Xenopus tropicalis: one gene and its partners. The protein of the gene in region 2 purifies or fractionates together with the protein of the main gene of each other region. This does not show direct contact. Links are inferred from orthologs where the notes say so. Each region holds a gene or a part of one and is shown on either strand. Other genes may lie near its edges.

Region 1 (5,222 bases), on a different chromosome or scaffold from region 2:
TTCATATGTCTAGGTTGTGGGGTAGGGTAACAAGACTAAGGGCGAGGACACACAGGGCGATTAGTCGACCCAACTTTTTGAAAAGTTGAGATTAGTCGCCGCAACGGACATTATCGTCTATGGGCGAAAAGTTGCCGTAACGGTCTTAGTTAAAAGTTGCGACAACTGTCTTCGCCCCAAAAGCCTTTACTCACAAAGAAAAACATACAAGCCGGGCTAAACTTTGCAAAAAGGTAAACCCAGTCTCCCACAACCATGTGGAAAAATGTATTATGGTCTGATAAGGCCAAGCTTAAACTATATGGCCATAAAGAACAGCACATCATCACAAGAACTCCACATCCACAGAGAAGCATGGTGGGGGCAGCATCATGCTTTGAAGCTTCTTTTTGGAACTGTTGCTTTAGTCAAGGAGAATGGAATCATGAATAGCTCTAAGTATCAGTCTATTTTGTCACAAAACCTTTAAGCATTTGCTAGGAAGCTTCAGCATGTCAATAACCCAAAGAAGACATCTAAATCAACAGCTCCACTTAACAATGTTCTGGAATGACCCAGTTAGAGCATAGGAGATGTCTTCGCAATATGACTTTTGCAAGTCCATATGTGCCAAAGTGACTAGTTCAGAGGGTGTGCACACTGTGAGCACACCTAAACTAGACAGTTTTGTAACAAAATAGACTGATACTTGGAGCTATGCCACCTTGTATTTCTTTTCTCCTTTTTTTCACTGTTTCTAATTTGTTTTCAACTACTTTGTATAGACTGCAATTTTGCAATAAAGGTTATTTAGTTAAATAGTTATCAATCCACCCATATATAAGGCAAGTTGTGTTTTTTATATTTTATGTTGCATATGACAAGTATAATTCAAAGATGACAAAACTGCCATTGGGCAGGACAGGTGCCATAAGAATCAATTTGATAGCCACAGGCAGCTGCTAGAAATCCTGGTATAAATTATAATATATTTTAGGGCAATGAAGGACTGGGTAATTTGCAGAACTGCCCCACCATTTACTTGAATAGCCAGGGTCGGACTGGGCCGCCGGGACACCGGGAAAAATCCCGGTGGGCCCCGGCCCTAGTGGGCCCCAGCGGCCCAGTCCGACCTTTGCCGGCGCTCCCCCTACTGACTGTTCCTCCCCGACGCGTTCAATTTATACACGCTCGGGGAGGACGTCAGGCGGGGGCCCTGGGGGGGGGGTTAGGGGACGTGGCTGGTGGGCCCTGCACCCTCCAGTCCGACCCTGTAAATAGCAAGCTCACTTGGGGGTGCCAAAATGTTAGGCCCAAGTGACTTTAATTGCTTAGCTTTTACCCCGGGCTGGTGCCCCTGTTCGGAGAAAACCGCACCAGCCTGGGGTACCTGCGAGCAAGCGTTTGCTCTTCCTTATTTCTTTTGTCTTCGGAATCCCTGGGCCGGCACATGCGCAGTAGAGTGAAAAGCAGACTTTTTTGTTAAAGTTCGACTTTTCACTCTACTGCGAATGCGCAAGCGCGCGAAGACAGGAGCAGGAAGAGGAGGCGCTTGCTCGCAGGTACCCCGGGCTGGTGTGGTTTTCTCCTAACAGGAGCACCAGCCCGGAGTAAAAGGTAAGGCACTAATGACTAAGCCTTTCCTTCTCCTTTAAGCAAGTAGTTGGCATAACTGTCTCTATGTGTGTTTTAGCACAATTCTTAGTACTGTCTATGGCAGAGTATTTTCTGGCGTTCTGTAGCCGTAACGAGTAGCATCGTATTTTATAGCCCTAAGTCCACTGTGAAAGCCATACCATTCCATATAACATATACTGTTTAAAAAGAACACTTTCACAGACTAAGAATTTATGCTCTCATGTTGAAGGTGGGCCCAAAGCACTGAATGAAAGGGGAGGGAAGTACTTTTTCTTTTAGTACTTGCATAGTTACCAGCATTTGAGCCTTTTCTTTCCCCCCACTAACACTATACAAACAATACTGGTTCCTATACACCAAACACCGTCTCCTTGGAAACTGACAACTGTCAGACGCCTTATCCTTAACCCTTTCGGTGGCTGGACTCTATCATTTTACTGCACCATATGTTTCCAGAAAAAATGCAGTGCTGCTTCAAACTAAACAAACCCATAACTGTAGAAACACTGCCACTATGACTACTTTATGCCGTTGTCATGCATTCTATGGTACCAGGTACTTATGAGAAACATTGAAAAAAAAACAAAAAACCCTATTTTACTTATTATTATTAATACAATTGTGAAGCATGAACGTATTCTACAACATTGCACAATAAATGGATATATACATTACGCATACAAAAACACATCCAAAAGCAACCAGTACCCAACACAATACAAGAGGAAAAGAGGGCCCTGCCCAAAAGAGCTCACAATCTTCCACAGCAAACCTTTTGCAATCATTTATGTGAATCATTTTATAGTAATTAGTTTAAGACACATGGGAGGCATTAATATACTAAATTAAATTACAAATATATATATATATATATATATATATATATTACAGTAGGTACAAACAATAGGGATGTCACACTTAGGGGTATATTTATTATGCTGTGTAAAAAGTGGAGTAAGGCATTACCGGCCCAAGCTAACCAATCAGCAAGTCAATTTCAACAGTTATTAAACCGAACAAACTATCTGATTGGCTGCTATGATCAACATCACTGATTGTTGTTGAATATTTCACTCCACTTTTTACACAGTATGATAAATATGCTCCTAAGAGATTATGGGATGAGTTTTACCTGCTGTGCCATATCCCTAACACACTTAGAACATAAGCCTCCAATACATGGGAGTGTAATCTTTATAGGACAGGGACCTCCTCCTGTATCTCTTAACATAAGGAATGCCATCATGTTACTGTGTATATTACTTTATTGCAATACTTGTCCCCCAGCAGAATAACCTTCTGAAGGACAATACCCTGACATCAGAGCCTGGATTTCCCAGCAGCCACAGTAGGAAGTGAGGGGAAATACAAGATAGTGTGATGCCTGATGCTGTTGCAAGGGCTAAGATTGCCCTGAGGTACTAGCACTACAGCTCCCAGCAGGCACAGCCATTTACAATTTACTAGTACTGTATTTTCAACTGCTAGGGGGCTGCAGGTTACACAAACACTACTAACTATTAAAACAGCACAAAACGTATGCCATGCTACATTGTGTCTACTGTAATAGGGGACACACGCCCACTGTATTGTAACAGCAGCCCCCGCAGCTCAAGGAAACCCATCAACTGTACGTACTGCCCAGCTGTCACTGACCCGGAAACCCCCGGACCCAGGTGCTGGGCAGCAGCATAGGCAGTACTTCTACCTGCTACACACAGCCCATACCTGTACGTGTTACACACAGCCCATACCTGTACGTGTTACACACAGCCCATACCTGTACGTGCTACACACAGCCCATACCTGTACGTGCTACACACAGCCCATACCTGTACGTGTTACACACAGCCCATACCTGTACGTGTTACACACAGCCCATACCTGTACGTGTTACACACAGCAAACAGATCGCTCCAACTGCAGCTCAGTGAATCCCCAGGCCGGACCGCAGGGAATGCCAAACAACAACGCGCCGCAGAAACTGTCCCTCACCGTGACTCCGTAGGGGGAAAGTTCTAGACTGGCCGGGAACTTGCAGAGGGGATGAGCAGGGAACGCGTAAGGCCAGAGCGGGGAAATGAAGCAGAGCGGCATCTGCAGGTCAGGAGGAGCAATGACACATTTAGAAGCAAGCTTATAGCTGAATTGACCTGACAACATGCCCTAATAAAGTTCAAGTCGTGTCACATTCACTTTCTGGCTTCTTGTAATGGGATTATATGGCAAAGGAGTGACTAAGGGAGGTGATAACAATAAGTTTGTTGTAAGTCAGTCTTAGAGGCCATTTCCAGGGATACCTTATAGAAGATTGTAAGCTCTTCTTGTAGATTGTAAGCTCTTTTGGGCAGGGCCCTCTTCACCTCTTGTATGGGTTATTGATTGCTTCATATGTTACTCTGTATGTCCAATGTATGTAACCCACTTATTGTACAGCGCTGCGGAATATGTTGGCGCTTTATAAATAAATGTTAATAATAAAAAAAAATAATAGAAGCTTAGGGGAGAAAATAAATATGTTCAGGTCTTAAATACAAAATGAAGGTATAGTGAGCATTTATTTTATAATAGGCTTTGCTTCTTCTTTATATTGTACCTGTGCCTAGGGACTGGCACCTGGAAAAAGTACCAGCCTTCTTATATTTTCAACTTTTTTCCCAGCATCAAGCATCATTTTGCTATCCACTTGTAAAATACTGAATAGGTGGCAACCTACCTGTGCCTCTTATTGCTGGCAGCTTCAATCCTATAGTTGATCCAAGTACATAAGTCTATGGCACACTGCAGATTCTGTCGCAAGTGCACGATTATGTCGGAATGAATTGCGGCAGCATTCATTGTACCGTACAATTCCTTTCTTCTCTATCAGATATAATATTAATGCCAGCCCAGTTTATATGCGCTACTAACCAAATTATTGGTACAAAGCCAAACCAGGTTCTCGGTAAAGTATTTTTATTTTATTATTAGAAGACCCTCCTATTTGTGTCTGTAAATTACTCTCCCATTTAGATTGTAAGCTCTACGGGAGAAGGACCTTCATCCTCTTGTCTCTTAGCTCTGTGGAATTTTTAATGCAACTGTACTTTTTATGTATTTGTATTTATTACTGTACTCTTTATTAATGTAGTGGCTCCCAACTTGTTATTAATTTATTGTTCTGCTGTACAGTGCTGCGTAGCACAATATAAATACAAACATACATACATACTTTACACTTCTAATGAGTTTATATTGTTTCATTTTCACAGTAGTTGCCTCTGAAGACCACCAGATGTCACTGCTGTCTACTGCTCATTTTGTGAAACATTTCTGCAATAAAAGTAAATGCAAGATGGATATTGCTAGCCTATTTAGAAATGTAATAAAACCTTGCTTTATTTCAGTTTGTCTGGGGATGCATTTTGCATACATTTTACTTTTGTGAACCGCTCTGCAGACCACTGAGTGGATCTTCTGCCGATATTGCCACCAGCAATGACGAGCATAGGAGCCGTTGGACCAAGGGCCGCATTAATGAGCCGATCAATACCTGGCCAATTTTCAGCCAGATATCAGTCAGTAAGGCTAATGGTACACAAAGCATATGGCGCACATTTTCGAAA
Region 2 (4,073 bases):
CTAAACCTGTGTTATTTTAATTGGTAGTTTAAAGGTTTCTTTTTCATTATGACTGTTTTCAGGTTTCCATTTTATATACTTGACACCTAACAATTTGGCAGATGCTTTAAATGCTTTGCATTTTGGCTGAAAGTTCAATAATCTAAGTAGTAATACGCCCCTGGTGCCCTTTTTTCTCTTATGAATCCAGGCTCACTGAGAACAAGCTGACAGATGAAGCGGCAGAGCACTTTGCCAAGATGGTAAAGGTTAACAAAACCCTCCGGCACCTGTGGTAAGTTATCTCTCAGAGAGGCTCAGTGACTGATGTAAACTTAATTATCTGCTGCTTTTACCATTTACATAGCCATTGCCAGATGTTTCACTAACATATTATGTTCATAAAATGCTGGTGGTTGGGGCTGTATTTAAGCTATACAGAGAACCTGTAATTAACAGGGTTGGCTCTGACCCAATATACTTCTTGGGTGCATAAAATCCACATTTACTTTTGGTTCTGATTTTCAATTTTTTTTGTATCAATAATAACACATTGATGTGTTAAAGAAGAGTGGGACAAAATGCAAAAATGCTGTCTGTTTTGTTATGTTTCTAGGGACACAGAATATATAGGCTTTGCTGAATGACTATATAACTACTCCCTTCTCCAGATTCTACCTAAAGTGGCTCAAGGCTGGTCCTGCCCAGAAAAGGGCATAATAGCAGCTGACCATTGCCAACCCCTCCCTTATGCCAAGTAGCCCAAAAAAGTAAGCACAGTGTTAGAGGTGCAGGGGTACCAACTTGTAGGCATGCCCCAGATATATGAACTCTAAACTGTGTGCTCTACAAACATAAAACCTCTACATTTTGGTTAAAAAGCTTTTGTTCTTTTTTTATTGCTCTCTTTGCAATCACAGCTTCCCAAAGAACTGGAGTGAGCAATATCCAGAATATGTGAAGGCAGTCTCCTGAAATGCAGAATGTAGTCCTGAGTTTGCCCAGCTGGTGGAGCTAGAGCACAGGGCTTCCAATAGACATTGCCTCTACAGACACTGTTGGAATGATACCCTGGTGACTTTGGTGCATGTGGGTACATTATTCACTGTAAGGAGTAAACCCTTTGCACCCAGTTCCACAGGCAGAATAATTTGCTCATGACAACAGCTGATGAAAGGGGGCAAAGTTTATTGGGAGAAAAAACTGGGGGTTTTTGCATCTGGTTTTTGCTCTTTACCTTTAGCAAATGAGCCCTAGTGCCAGTATTCACTTATGTAGATGCATTGTAACAGAAATGAACATTTTAACAGTCAGGGTGGATATATATATATATATCATGTATATATGAGTATTATTGCAGCCATTCTCCTCTGGGTCTCCAGGAACATATTTATAACCTGAAAGGGCCATACTTCTCTACTGGTGCTAACACTCTCCTGCTTTTAGCACCACCAAGACAAATGTCTATCACATTTTAAATAATTTAAAATAATTTGTATTAATTTATATAGTTATTGCCCAACCCATAACTCATAAATTACGTTATATGGGGGGGGGGTCTTCATTGAGGCCACCCTGTGTTTCTTTAGCAGCCTTGTGTTGCACGGAGGAAAGGGTTCCTTTGGTGCTGGAGCTTTACTTTCTTGTTCCTGCTAATGTTCTACACTTGACAGTTATAAACTTAATATGAATAAAGCATGCGGTAATCTGTTTCTGTCAGGCTTGTGAATAATCAGATCACAAATCATGGAGCTGAACTGCTGTCCGAGGCCCTGCAGCACAACACTGTAATGGAGGAGATCTGGTAAGTGCTTATTGTAGGGCCCTCCTTTTATTTGTATTTTATAATGTGCTCCTCATTCATAATCAGGCACCAGGAACACCAGTGGGGTAAAATGTCCCTAAGGTAAATTCATCTCATATTTTGATGTAACAATTTCAGAAGAATTCTTCTCCTGTTCTGCAATGTTTTATTTTCACTGACATGTGGGGAATGCTTCAGCTTCAGTATTTCTTGCCCGCAGTGCTGCTGATTAGCACATAGGCATTGCTTAATAATATATTAGGGATGGCCTCCTGAGCTTCTGTGCTTAGCTAGAAACCTCATAACTGATCCCCACATACTGGTGCCCAATCATTATTGTCAGACATTTTTGTAGAGCAGAGAGGATGCAGAGCTGTGGCAAAGTGTTCACATAGCTTGGGGCTAATTTATTTAACACTGGTCAAATTTGCACCTGGTAGTAACCCATGGCAACTGATGAAAGAGCTGAAGACCTAATGCAGATTCTCCTAGAATATCACTATCTACATTATACTGAGGCAAAACATCCCTTAAAAGGGAAAATGTACCTAATGTTTTTACTTTTAAGGAATACAGTGTGTCTTACCTATAGTCAACCTGCTAGAGCCAGGCTATGCAAAACTGACAGTACTGAACCTGCAGGCAAGAACCGATAGAATATTTAAACTCTTTCTACCTTTGCCTTTCAGTTTACAAGGAAACCCACTCACACTAGGGGAGAATCAACCATTTGAGCAGAACTCCAGGATCTTTTGTATCTGATTAACTTGTGTAAAAGAACAAGAAACTGAGGCCCAAAGACTGTAAGACAAAGGGAATGAAGTGCAGCTGCTTAGTGGGGAAAACCTTGGAGCCGTTGTTGGAATGAACTACAAACTGCATAATATACGCTATATTATTTCTATACAGGGAGTATCAAGCTGTTGAAAAACAAGCAAAGCTCATGCCCTCTGGTTCCAGCCACTGCACATTAAACGTTAAGCCTTTGGGCATTAGATTAAGGGGCAAATGCATCCAAAGCTCAAAATAGATCATGACAAAGTTGACAGTTCTGAATGTGAACTGAATACAGTTGTTAGAACTACAAACCATGATGGGATCAGGTAATAATGGTTGTTACATTAATCATCTGGTAAGTGCTTTTTCATAACAGTATTATTATTTCTTGGGTTGCTGTTACTTGAAGTTTGGGGTAGAGTCCTGCATCAGGTGAGGTACCTGGGGATTACCTACAAAGCAGTCAGTTTCAGGTAGAAAGTTCTCTTATTTCTGTCCTTCCGGGCAGTCTGCGGGTACCCCAGCTATGGTGCAGGAGTGGTCCCTCCTAGCTTCCCCTCACCTAGGTCACAGCTTCCTCTTACCCTTCTGCTCTGGCTCCAGAGTGACGTCACTTCCCTTATACAGTGACATCACTTCCAGTTTCGCGGGTCCCAGGTCAGACCCGTAAAACTGGAAGATAAGGTTTGCAGTCCAGGTAGGGTAGTGGGTCTGGGTAGGGGGACTTATTGGGTGGTGGGTCTGGGGAAATATAGAACAGAGATTTAGCTTGAGTTGCCCTTTATATTGGATTGACGTACTGAGACCATATCCCAGGGCAGTCCTTTCTCATATGTTAATTGAAGTCAAACTCCTTTTTGCTTTATACTGGAAAAGTCAGCTTTCCCTCAAAAGAGTCCCCCACACAATATGATACAAAATATATATGCACCCTCAGCCACTGTGTCGGGCTGATTGCAGGCACATTACGTGGAATTCAGCCCAAATCTGGAGAGCAGTTTTGCACCAAAATCCGCTTCATGTGCTACACCAGATCTAAAGCAGTGGCGCTGGCCGCAGGCACAACAATTACATTATTGACGTGTAAGGGCAGAGCTTCTCTGCTAGTTGAAATATGCTGATAATGCTATAGCCCTAAGTGTCTATGAAGGTTTTCATTCTTTCAGGTCATGACATATCTAATCTAAAGCAACTGGACTTGCTAAGTAACCATTAAAGACGTTTCACTACTCATCTGAGCAGCTTCTTAAGTTCAACTGACCTGAAGAAGCTGCTTGGACAGGTAGTGAAATATCTTAAACAGGGCAACAATTAAAAATGAAACTTTCTATATTCTACATCCTGATTCGAAAGATCAAAGTCATACAAATTAACAGCTCATTGAGTAGCCCTCTGTATAATGAGCTGCTCTTTATCTTAAAAGATGACAGGCTGTAGCTGTGGGAGGGAGGGGTTTGTTTATAGGCAAAAGGTAAGTTCAACATAAGCCCCTAAAGGAGACATATTAGATAAA
Region 3 (5,253 bases), about 75 Mb from region 2:
AAGATATAATTAATTATTACTGGGGGGTAAATCCATTTTTTCTATATAGGAAGCTCAGGCCACCCCCTTAAGCTGCTGCCCTAGACACAGGCCCTACGGTATACAGTAAATACAGCCATGCCTAAAAAAATGCCATGTACATCAATGCAAAATTATGTCAGTAATTACCCACAGGGCATATGAGAGAAAATAGAGAATAGAGAAAGTGAGGGAAAGGTCAGACATTGTTGCAAGAGAACTTGCATAACAATGAACCAATATTTGAACCCAGTCCTTCCTTTTGTACTCAATTTTGCACTGCCACATGCCAAACAGTCAGGACGTTAAAGGACCAGTAACACCAAAAAATGAAAGTGTATCAAAGTAATTCAAATATAATGTACTATTGCCCTGCACTGGTATAAGAGGAGTGTTTGCTTCAGAAAGATGACTTTAGTTTATATAAACTAAGCTGATGTGTAGCCATCAGGGCAGCCATTCAAACTGAAATACAGCTATTTGGCACAGGTTGCATAGCAGATAAGCTCTGTAAACACCATAGTATTTTACAGAGCTTATCTGTTGTCTGCTATGTAACCTGTGCCTTTTCTTCTTTTCCCACTTGAATGGCTGCCGCCATGGCTACACAGCAGAGTATTTATATAAACTATAGTAGTCTCCCTGAAGCAAACACATCAGCTTTACCAGTGCAGGACAACAGTACATTATATTTTTATTACTTTGATATACAGGTATGGGACCCATTATCCAGAATGCTCGGGACCTGGGGATTTCCAGATAAGGGTCTTCCATAATTCAGGTCTCCTACCTTAAGTCTACTAAGAAAATTATTTCAACAGTATTTAAACCCAGTAGTATTGTTTTGGCTCTTAGTTGGGATCACGTACAAGGTACTGTTTTATTATTACAGAGAAAAAAGGAAACCATTTTTAATAATGTGAATTATTTGATTAAAATTGAGTCTATGGGAGATGGGCTTTCCGTAATTCGGAACTTTCTGGATAATGGGTTTCCGGATAAGGGGTCCCAGAGTAAGTGCAAAAAGTGAGTGCAAAAGATAAGCACAATTAACCATGTTTCCCACAATGCAGCTTTTCTCCCTGAAAATACCTTTCCACCAATGTCGATACAAAATTTGTGTCCTTTAGCATGGAAGTTGCACTAGGGATCTTGAAGGTGTCATACAGGTGGGACATGCACAAGATCTGTGTGCGTGATTTATTTTAATAGCATGTTTAATAGCTCTGGGGGTGTGATAAATTACCTGGAATTGCACCCGACTGGATTCAATGGCAATTGCTTGAATCTGTGGTTGAACACATGGGCAAGGCTAAGAAATGTGACAGTCAGCGTTTAAGAAAAAACAAAGCTGGTGATAACCGGCCTCATGGAATGACTGTTATGCTGAGGAATGAAGACTGACACATAAAGATAACTGCCTGTATACAGTAACTGTTTAACCAGCATGGGCAAAACAAACAGTCCTGCTTCCCCAAAGTCCTTTAGGCCTGAGGATGATTCAGAAAGTGGTCGGGAAATGCTGAAAAAAAAGTGAAATAAGGCATGAAAAAGTTTTATGTTGCTGAATGCTGGAAAACCCCTGTTCAGTTTGTTATATGTTTATTCCTGCCAATAGTTTGCATATATGGGAGAAATGAAAGCTGGCGTTGATTTTAAATGGCAAATTCACCAAATAGTTTGGATTTTTTTCTTTTATAAGGTGCTTTTTTTCAGCTTAAAGGACAGTTACTGGGGGGGGTGGGTTCAATGTTGAACTGTGGAACAGTGCAACTACTGGATTGGCCAAACCTTCCTGCAGGTTCTTTGCGGTCATATGAGGGTTTGGTGTTGACATTCTGGCCAGTATACAAGCAGTACTTTCTGAAAGCTGTCTTGGTCTTCCAGATTCGGTTTTGCCTTCCACAGTTCCCCTTAAACTACAATTTCTTGACATTACAGAAATCGTGAGCTGGAAGCATTTTGCAATCGTTTGATAGCATTTCCCTGCTTTGTAGGCGTCAGCTTCATTTTCACATCCTTACTCAATAGCTTAGAGGAGCCCATGGTTGTTGGGTCTCTTTAGTTCTGCGGTTGTCAAAAAGTGACACAATTCCTAATAAATATTTAGGTCCAATAAGGTATATTGGGCCAGGGACCTTGCAAAAACAGTTTTTATAACTGGACAAATGGAAGAGGGCCCAACATTTTACACGTCACTGTTTTCTTATGTCAGTGAGATATATATTACAAATATGTTGTTTTTTTACCCACTGATTCCTGCAGTAGTTCTGCACTAACTTTCACTTGCAACATTAACCAAACATGGTATTTGGCACAAGTGCTTTATGGAGGAGCAAATCATTCCCCCTTAGTGCCCTAGCACTTGTATCAAATGTAAATTATGGCTATAGTGTAATGTAATGTTCCCACCCTTGGATCTACATGGAATCCTTCATAAACATTCCTACATGCCTTCATTTTATTTGCTGAGGGCTTTGGAGGGCTGTTAAAACACACACCCACATATAAAAAAATGATATTGCACAGAGTGAAATTTCTATACATGGGTTTAACTACCTATATGGAATACTGCATGTTGACTGCCATGTAGCACTAGCAAATAATACAAATAACTGAATATTAGTGCCCACCGCAAGCTCACAGTTTAGTCACTCACCTCTCCACCAGATGGCGCTCTGTCGGGAAGAACTTCACAGCAACTCTCACCCTCCAATCAGAGTGGCAAGCACTGTGTACGGTCCCATAAGCTCCTTTATTAATGAACTTCAGGTCTGTGAGTTTCTGATATGGGATGCACTGCAGGGAACTGCTGATACTGGCAGCCGGAACGCTTATACCTTCTTCAAGGTTTAGAGAATAGCGAGTGCCCGATGGATAAGTGGACGCAGATCCCCGGCTGCCATCGCCGCTGCTCATTCTGTCTCTCCGTAACTATCAGAAGCCAGGGAAGGGCTGCCGGAACGACTACAGCACAGAATATAAAAGTATGTTTGCTTTTCCCGGAAGGAGAGGGCAGCCCGCCTCCCCAGCTTGTTTCTGCCGCAGCTCCCTTTCCACTAGGTGAAAGTGAAAGAAAAGTAAAGCAGAAGTTCCAGTTCTCCCACCCACAAACTTTCCTAGAAAAAAGTTTGGCATTAAAAGAATATTGGCAAATAAGAGGAAGAAGCTACGGGATGAGTTGCACGCTGAGCGTCAGTCATTGCTGGGAGTCAGTCATTGCTGAGAGTCAGTCATTGCTGGGAGTCAGTCATTGCTGAGAGGAGCTGCTGCTGCTGCTGCTGCTGCACACCTTTGTACCACAGCAGCCCCGGCTGCCTGAGCCACACTCCTTCCTGGTAGCGACAGGCCCTGGGGGAGGGAAGGGGAGGAAGTGAGAAAAGGAACAGCACAAAGGGTGCACTAGATTCTGCCATCTGTCTGGTAGACTTTATATTTGAGAGCTTATTTTGTGGGGCAATAGGGAAAGTACAAAAAACGGAAACCCTTTTGCACCTTGCCCCACAAGTAGCAGCCATTCTGCTGAGGAAATTGCACTTCCACGTGACTACAGTGGCACTTGCATTACTCACATGGCACCTGCTCCTTGCACTTCTGCATAGCGCATAGCGCTGAGCCCCCATTCGTTAAAGGAAGCCCAGGACCTTCTGCCACCTTAAACATGGGTTAATTCCAGGATTCTTATAGCAGTCTGCATCAAGAGGGGTGACTTGTGCCCAAAAAAATCACACGCTAATTACTTTTATAACAGCGAAAGGGGCACCATCTCCACTATGGGAGTCCACTAAGGGACCACAAATCAGGAATGCCCAGCCTGTGGCCCTTCAGCTGTTGTTGATATACAACTCCCAGCATCCCCCCAGACAGCTGGAGCCAGATTCAATTTGATGAGAAAAGTTTCTCTTCCTACTTCAGTTCCATATTTTCCCATTAAGCCACATTCAGTTCAATTGGAAAAAACTGAGGGGTCATTTTCAATGCCCCATGCAGCGTGCAAAGTGTGAAAAAGACCATTTTTTTGCACTTTGCCCAATAGCTGCATGCTTCTGTGCTCCACTTTCTAGCCAAAGACCTGGGGACTGCTGTTTGAATCTAGTGCTGCCTGCGTTAGGCCACTTTAGATTCAAAAGAGGCAGCTCCCACCCCCAACATGCACTCCATTTCATGCTCAAATTAGGGAGCAGAAGGAGGCACAGCCCACATTGGGGGGTTGTACTTACTGAGGACAGGGCTGAGCCTGATGCAACTTCTTTGCGCAGATTGCTGGATTTTTAAACCCGACGAACTGGGCAGAGAGCAACAAACCCAATTTTTCATGTGATTAACCATAAAATAATCTGGAGCATAATAACACTTGCATCATTTGACAGCGCAGGTGCTGAGCCCTGTCATTGTATACCATACCTCACCAGGTATTACTTTATCTTTCTCTTTGTCAATATTTATTCTGTCCGGATTATTGACATACTTTATAGGAGGCCTGAGAAATAAGTAGCAAGTGCTGCAAAACAAGCTGTGCCTGGCTCAGAGTTCACATACTTTATTAGAACCACATACCTGGCAATTCAGCAGCAATAGTGCCACATTAAATGGAAAACATACATGCAATTTTAATTAGTAAAAGGATAGTGGTTACTAAAAGATTGGATTCAAATGATACTCTCCAGCAAGAGCTCAGCTTCAGGGGGCTCGTCATTCAGCCACAGTTGCTGTACAGAGTTGGAGTAGTAAAGATGGTTATACAGGAATGGGATCTCTTATTCAGGAACCAGTTATCCAGAAAGTGCAGAATAACATGACGACCCTTTCCCATAGACTCCAATGGGAACTCCAACTAATTCAACTTTTTAAGCAAGATTTTCTTTTTCTCTATAGTAATAAACCAGTACCTTGTATTTCATCCCAACTTAAATATAATTAATCCTTATTGGAGGCAAAACAGTCCTATTGGGTTTATTTAAAGTTTAAATGATTTTTTAGTGGAAGTTATGAGGATCTAAATTACGGAAAGATCCTTTATCTGGAAAATCCCAGATCCCACTCATTTTGGACACATCCATGTCCCATACCTGTATATATATATATTTTTTTTCAAGGTCCCAAAAGGGACCGAAACGTCGGTTGTACATGCAATTATAATACATTAATATTTATTTGAACCACAAGACCCTTGGTGCTGGTTGTGTTTGATTCAGTATATACAGTATATATATATATATATGTATATATACATAG

What was found.
Region 1: the proteins of nod1 (region 2) and sugt1 purify together in Homo sapiens (affinity purification with western blotting; 3 studies listed by BioGRID and IntAct, with this or other methods). This does not show direct contact. The link is inferred for Xenopus tropicalis from reciprocal best matches to the Homo sapiens genes NOD1 and SUGT1.
Region 3: the proteins of nod1 (region 2) and ripk2 purify together in Homo sapiens (affinity purification with western blotting; 4 studies listed by BioGRID and IntAct, with this or other methods). This does not show direct contact. The link is inferred for Xenopus tropicalis from reciprocal best matches to the Homo sapiens genes NOD1 and RIPK2.

Annotation. Positions count from the first base shown.
Region 1 is NC_030678.2:132,229,329-132,234,550, forward strand, and holds the start of sugt1 (protein SGT1 homolog), read right to left. Parts: upstream 3,381-5,222; 5' UTR 3,346-3,380; intron 1-3,345. UniProt on the Homo sapiens protein: May play a role in ubiquitination and subsequent proteasomal degradation of target proteins.
Region 2 is NC_030682.2:51,348,878-51,352,950, forward strand, and holds the end of nod1 (nucleotide-binding oligomerization domain-containing protein 1), read left to right. Parts: intron 1-190; coding exon 191-274; intron 275-1,699; coding exon 1,700-1,783; intron 1,784-2,472; coding exon 2,473-2,545; 3' UTR 2,546-2,908; downstream 2,909-4,073. UniProt on the Homo sapiens protein: Pattern recognition receptor (PRR) that detects bacterial peptidoglycan fragments and other danger signals and thus participates in both innate and adaptive immune responses.
Region 3 is NC_030682.2:126,031,768-126,037,020, reverse strand, and holds the start of ripk2 (receptor-interacting serine/threonine-protein kinase 2), read right to left. Parts: upstream 3,381-5,253; 5' UTR 2,938-3,380; coding exon 2,678-2,937; intron 1,541-2,677; exon of another isoform or gene 1,265-1,540; intron 1-1,264.